2 linked regions of the Drosophila melanogaster genome follow. The protein of the gene in region 1 purifies or fractionates together with the protein of each later gene. This does not show direct contact. Each region holds a gene or a part of one and is shown on either strand. Other genes may lie near its edges.

The links. Proteins that work in one complex are often made in the same cells at the same time.
Region 2: the proteins of AttD (region 1) and Sec22 purify together in Drosophila melanogaster (affinity purification with mass spectrometry, with the first as the bait; one large-scale study listed by BioGRID). This does not show direct contact.

Annotation. Positions count from the first base shown.
Region 1 is NT_033777.3:17,623,746-17,626,642, forward strand, and holds AttD (Attacin-D), read left to right. Parts: upstream 1-1,522; 5' UTR 1,523-1,578; coding exon 1,579-1,739; intron 1,740-1,816; coding exon 1,817-2,201; 3' UTR 2,202-2,341; downstream 2,342-2,897.
Region 2 is NC_004354.4:804,268-808,745, reverse strand, and holds Sec22 (secretory 22), read right to left. Parts: upstream 2,671-4,478; 5' UTR 2,262-2,670; coding exon 2,181-2,261; intron 2,114-2,180; coding exon 2,004-2,113; intron 1,778-2,003; coding exon 1,476-1,777; intron 1,393-1,475; coding exon 1,244-1,392; 3' UTR 546-1,243; downstream 1-545. Other genes in the region: CG13358 (uncharacterized protein), read left to right, coding at 3,849-4,478.

The DNA of each region.
Region 1 (2,897 bases):
TGAACACATGTTGTTGGGGCCCAGAAACTGAGCTTATATCGTCTGGGCAAATATTAGGGGGATATTTTAGTGGAGATGGCCAAACTTTGAGATCATCAAAAGGGAATCGTTCAACTAACTTTTGTATCCGATAAGTGAAGTCCCGCAGCAGACGACCAGATATTAATTCTCGGGGGGAAATTAGAAGAGGACATTGCTGTATCCGATTTACAAGCAAAAAGGACTCTGCAAATTAAATTTATAAATATAATATACCATTGTTCGGCTTGTCAGAAGTTTGTTTTTCCCTCCATTGTTACATAATTATATGGCCCGGAGTTATCGGTGGGCTTGAGTGCGTTTGTGTATAAAAAAGCAAGATAAGCCAGAACCGAGTGCATGTAAATAAATTGAAACAAATAAGCTGACTGTCGGCTAATTGCAGGGAGACCCCTTTATCCAGAAAAGCGAATGAAATTGAAAAGCCGTTCGTTCCATTTGCAAGGCAAATATACGAGGCCCCGGATCTCCGGTCGTTTTTTTTCCACCTTGCGGTGGACAACATCGCAACATGCTGTCGAACATTTCCGCCGGACGGTTTCCGTTATGCAACGCCACTGCAAGGACAACAACAGGTGGATGTCGAGAAGGATGTGCGAGGTGGTGGTGATTCTGAGTCCGTAGCCACTGTTTACGCCGACCAAACTTTTTGTCAGCTGTCATTGGGGCAGACGTGCAAAAGAAAAACGAGAGTTTTCCCTTTATTCTGATTCCAAAAGACTGACAGCTGAATACCCCGTAGGAAAAAAAACACGCACAACACAATTCGCGTTTGAGAGAAGGCCCCGGCGAGATTCGAACTCACGATCTCCTGTTTACTAGACAGGCGCTTTAACCAACTAAGCCACGGCGCCACTTATGTTGAACCTGAAAATTTGGAAACTTCTGTGGTGGGTGGTTGGAGGTATCAATGATCATTAAAAATAACTCAAGGTCAAGTATTGATTTTGATAGATGATACTATGAAGATAAAATTAAAAAGATATGAAAAACTAAAAAATACTGACACAATCTTTTGTGTAGGCCCCGGCGAGATTCGAACTCACGATCTCCTGTTTACTAGACAGGCGCTTTAACCAACTAAGCCACGGCGCCATGCGTTATATGCCTGACCAAATTTTCATAATTGCCTTGCCCAATTCAAATTAAAGTGTCAATAGCTGAAATGACATGCTCTTCAAATAGAAGATCTTAAAAAGTAATTCAACGAGGTCCACGTATAAAAATGTATGTAAAGTACTAGCGTTCTTTGAATGGGAAGAACCATACAAAATATTTTCTTTATTTACAATACGTATACCAGCATTTGGGAGTCCCACTGAGATTATTCACAATATCTAAAGGGGAAAAACAAATGCATATGGCTGTGTATTTAAGGATGATTAACAGACAAGAGAAAATTAAAGGGGGAAATCACCGAAGTTGCGTACTTTTGCGACAAAAGACATGAGAGTATAAAAGCGACCGTCGGAAATATGCAGTCACTCAAACTAAGAGATAGAGTGCAAGCAGAAAGACGAAATCAAAGAATTATATAAGATGGAATGTCAGGCTTCAGGAAACCCAAAGAGCGGAGCGGCAACCGCCCAATGCGGAGTAAGGGTCGGTGATGATCTTGCCAATGCTCGAGCCGGAGTATTCGCCTCCACTCCAGGCGCTGGGGGTCCGGTCACCAAGGGAGTTTATGGAGCGGTCAACGCGTAAGTCCAGTAAAAGTTCTTAAAAATGCTAAAATAAATATTATAATTTTGTAAACTTTCTTCTCTTCATCCCACAGCAATGGTCATGCACTCTCACTGCAGCATGGCCACATCGAGGGCGTGGGCAGCACTACCACTGCCGCAGCCCAAGCCAATCTCTTCCAGAGCAATAACGCCGCTCTGAATGCCACTGCATTTCACAGTCATAGCCGATCGCACGATCAGTTTGGCGGAGGACTCAATTTGCAAACTGGAACGGGTCACCAGGCGGCAGTGGGGGTCACTAGGGTTCCTCAGTTCGGCATGACCGCCGTCCAGGCTTCTGGCACAGCAAATCTGTATACCTCTCCAAGTGGCAATCTCAACCTCAACGCCACCGGAAGTGCCAATCATCACCTCAGGGGACCGATGCGCGGCAAGTCCGATTTCGGCACCGGAGTTAACTTGCGATATAATTTTTAAATCCTTTATAGTTTTATTGAAACTATTCATAGTCACATTTAGTACTTGCACGTAGCCAAGAAAAGAAACAAGTGCCGTATTTATATGCATTATATCGAAGATTAAATAAACCATGCTATTAAAAGCGCTTTCTACTTGGTAACACGCAATATCATTGAACTCTTTAAACTCCTGTCAAAGTGCACATCGATTTCCCATATTTCATCGAGTGAAATTCTACACAATAACCGAGCCACTTGGGGAAATCCTTTGGGGTTCGAAAACCCATCTACAGACGAACGTAGACCATGAGAAACAAATTTTTGACTAGTCAGCTTTTTGGCATATTTCTTTTTTTTTTTGCACCAATGTGTGCAAGCACCGCAACCGTTAAGTGCCATAAAAATAATTCAAAATAAATTGCTTTACATAAAAATTTGGTTTCGGCAGAGCAGCGCGCCCAACTGTTTTATAAGGTGTATAATTTGGCCATAATAATGCGCATCATGGCAGCATCCATCGCGGGGTTGGTTATTAATTCTCGGTCGACGCGTCGTCGAGCCCGAGACATAAATAACGCGTTTTATGCGTGAATATACTTTGCATTTTTCGCAGACACGGCGGAGTCCTAGTTAAGCCGTAAAAATTACACCAGCCAGTCAAGAAGCCCCGCCACGACTTTGACTTCCTCGAAGGACCAAGGCAAGTCATGTCAGC
Region 2 (4,478 bases), on another chromosome or scaffold:
CTTCGATTTTATAGACCGCGTAATTTATTTTCGATCCCACTCACCACCAGAGCTTCAGCAGAACCACAGCCTAGTACACGGAAGCCAGAGGAGGTTGCAAAATTCGGTAGATGATTGCTCTTCTCCCCAGTTAATTAATTATTGCAGACCATTTCACACATCCCCCCCCACAAAGCATATGCATTCATATGTAGTTATGTAGAGAGCGTATATATGTATTCGGATTCGATATTTCACAAAACTATACACACCAAATTACGATATAGCAGTGTATATGGCAACAGCGCATTTTTTTCCTAATTGTAAAGATTTGATATTACAAATTTATATGCGCTGAGACGCAACGAAAACGGACATTTAGCGGGACGATATGAGACCGAATGGGATCGGGATCGGATCAGATCGAGAAATTCATTGAGAAGAATCGTAATTCGAAGGCTTGCAAGTGGATATAAACTATAAAGGCGAATGTATCACATCACACTCAGTGAATCGAAAAATATATAAAGGGAAATTATCGATTAAAACTAAACCAAAAATCAGATGCAGTTTCTATCTTTCGGGCTTGGGTAGTGCATCGAACACAGTTTTGCCTTCTCTTTATTAAACAATATAAATTTATTTATTTGCCTTAATTTTACACATATAAATTGCCTAAAACTGTTATTGTTTATTTCCCTTTCTCTTCTTTTCTTTTCTTTCGGTTCGCTTGTTATCTTTTCTTTTTCTTTTGTTTTTTGCGGTGTTTTTGCAGCTTGTATCAAGCACTCCGCCGGATTCGGATTCGCTATGCAGCGATCCATCTACAATCTAGACATTTATACACACACACACGGATCGACGCTCATAATTTACAGATTTGGGTCGTAGTCAACCGACTTGGCTCAAAGGTCGTCTAAACTAAACCCGATTCGTAATCAAATATTTAGAAAACCTGCGCAACGGAAGCGCGAGGCGAAATGAAATGGGAGTTAATAATTAATGGAATCCCAGACCGTAAATAACGCAAAGGTAAGTTAATATTAGAAGTAAAACAATCCTCGGGAGCGATGCGTATGCTGGTAGGGGGTTTCGCTATTCACTTTTCGCTTGCCTATGATTCATAGATATGAATGAATATGGTGTGGTTGGTGGCGTGGAGTACAGGTGCACGCGTAATCTAAATGTCTTTTGGTCTTGCGTCCTTGACGCTTGACTCCAACAAAGAACGCGCCGCTCCGAGTGGCCATGGAACTGCTTGATATTACAGAACCCAGAAATACATGATGAACACTAGAAGTATCATGCCCAAGGCCATCGCCTTCACGTACATGGACTTTCGGTTGAGCAGCTTGGCGTCCTTCTTGTACTTCTGTGACATCATCGATAGGTTCTGGGTCTTGGTGTCGAGTTCTGGAAGGAAAAACGGGGTGAACGTCAGTTGAATCCCACAATCACGCGTAGATAGTCGCGTAGATAGTAGTAGTAGTAGTTACCCGCCAGCACTGTGCCACGTTGGAGCACGTCGTCAATGTTTTGCACCATGATGCGCTGCACATCCTGCAGCTGTGTGTTGATGTTGCTGATGTTGCGTCTGCGGTCCGTCAACTGTTTTTTCGCCTTCTGTATGTACACGTCAAACTCGATGAATGCGTATGGGCGAGTCACTGAGTTTACTCGCCGGCCGTAGTTAGCATGGAACTCCTGGGCCAGGTCCTCCAGGTAATTGAAGGCCAGTCGCTTTGAGTACATCTTGTCCACCATCACCAGGTAGCAGACGTCGTTCTCGATTAGGTAGCTGCAGGGAAAATGTGGAATATTTTAATTGGGGCGCCCATTGCATCTTCTGGCTTTCGCAAGCAGTGAGCGTTTAATTTAACTTCGTATCAAATTACATCTATACTCTTTGTTCCGAAACTAAATCAACTGTCACTGACTACCCGCGGAGCCGAGAAACCTTTGTACATGGTGTGATTTTAATGGTCTATGCCCTGGCAAAGGTGCCACGAATTGGGGCTACTCACTGGAATAGGTAGGGTCCGGTCTCGATACTGCATCGAGCCGGGGAGTGGGTACCCAGCTTGCGGAAGAGCATCTTAGCCTGGTTTTGGTAGTCCAGTATGCTGCGTCCGCTCTGAAAGTGAAAGCGACTTAGTTGCGGGAGCGGAACGGAATGCAACGTATTAGAAAGTGATGCACACGGGTACCTGCTCGTCATCCTGCATGGTCCCCACCAGAGGAAGGCCATCGATGACCCTGGCTATCATGGTCAGCAGCGCCATGGCTTCTGCTGTTCCTGGTTACGATTGCTCGCGGAACTACGGGGCTGCGTCTCAAGTCTTCTTGGCCACGGCTGCACTCTGCCGTCGCCTCCTTCCACTGGCTGCTACTTATTCCGATGTGGATCCGCTGCAGTCCAGTCACCAGTGTGTGAAGTTTGTGTCCGGTCGTCCTCTTCCACTTCTTGGATTTCACAACTCAGCCGATCGGTCGGTGCTTGCCGCAGTGCTCCTGCGATGCCCGGGACTTCCAAATGGACTCTGCCTCGAATCGGGAACGTTCGCTGCTACCATGAAAACTGTGTTGCAACGTCGCGGCGGGCGGGTGTCTGGGATTGGAGTGGATTGGAGGTTTCTGTGGATGTTTGTTGCAATGTAACCACGTCACCGGTATGTCCGTGTAAATATACCGAATGGTGCGAGGCATACCGAATACCGCAGAGTATCTCAGAGTACCGACCGCCAACGGTCACATTAACGGAAGTCCATTATACCATTCGTTTCTTCGTTTCTTTAAATGCACGATATGGAAATACGCTTTCAACTCGTTTTCAAGCCAGCATGCCCCTGAAAATGGCGCTTTCGAGTTTCCGGGCTTTCCCGCAAAGCTATTTTCCCAGGTCTACAGCTTTGACAGCTTGCGCTCTGCTGTAATGTGGAGTTTGCTTTTTGTATGCGTGTGTTGTACACAGGATGCGGATTAAGGATCCCCAGAAGTTCAATAGAAGTACAATACTTCGATTCACCCATGAACCTGGCGCCCAGATGCATTGTTCTATAGCTGTTTTGAGTCCCAATCCGACCAATTGGTCTTTGGTATTTTTATTTTTTATATTGGCAATCGAGTTGCGAATATATTATTTCAAATATTTAAATATAAATAAATATTTATTTAAATTATTAACCAACATAAATCGAAATCCCTGGCACGTCGCGCCGCTTTCGCAGACTCAAATCCGCTGGCGCAGATGCCGGAAGTGGGTTGGACCCCCCAAAAGTCGATGACCAAGCCCAACCGGTTCGCCCGCGAAGACCATCCTCTGCATGGACATCCACATCCATCCCCAGAAGGAAAAGTGGTTCGCCCGCGAAACCGGACTTGGACTTGAGGCAGGGACCCAACTATATGGACTACCTGTGGTACTTGGCGATGGAGCTGCGTGCGAATGTGCGTTTCAAGCGACCACCGGAAAAATCTTTGCACTGGGAAAATAATTCATATCGAATGCGACTTATTCATCTATGTATATTATGAATTGAAGCCCTGCAAGCGAATGCGAATAACCATTCCCATTTCTGCTCATACCGAAGAATGCTAAGATATACACAAGTTTGTGATCAAAGCGGGAAAGCTTATGACATTATTTAAAATGCTTGTACTGTGATCTTAAATCGAATGCATTTCAATTAACTCTGAGCCCATCGAGGACTGCGGTCAACCTATTTTCTCATCGTGTGATCGGATCACCCGCAGCGGAATGCGTGCGCTTCCGTTTTGCTCGGCTTGGCCTCCTTCCTCGTTCCGTTGAAAGCAGGTATGTATATATAAGCCACTGCTCCACCTAGAGGCTCCACAATACAAAGTCAGTCATGGCCGGGTCAGTTCGTGCGACGCTCCTGGGTCTCCTCATGCAGATCCTGTGCAATGGGCTGGCTGGTCAGCAGCTGCTCCTCACACGTCCCCAAAGGAGCCTGTTCGAGACTCCGCTGGGTCACGTAGAGCAAGTGGAACAAGTGCCCTCTTTAGGCTGGAATAGTGTTGGTAGTGGACTCGGAGTGGGCGAGTGGCCCTACAGCCCCGTTGGTCTCGGCCACATGAGCAAGGATGAGCTGCTGACCCTGCTGGAGGCCTGGAAGGAGGTCGAGGAGGAATCGGCCACAACAACGACTGCGTCGCCAGCGGATGCCAGCACACGTAGACCTCCTCCGCCTCCACTGCCACCACCACCACCTCCTCCGCCACGACCCACACCCATACCAGTCTCCGTTGCAATCCCGTCACCGGCTGTTCCGCCCTCCGGCACTCCCATTACAGTGCGGCTCCCAGCCTTTGTGCCTGTGCGTCTGGCTGCCGTGTTTACTCCGCTTGCCGGTGGACAAGCTGATAGTGCTGTTCCGTCTGCCAACGGAGTCGGAGGGGCTGGAGGAGATGATTTGTCCACCGATGACGTGACAGATGATGACGGCGTCTCTACCCGGCTCTTTCGCTTTTTGCCCATG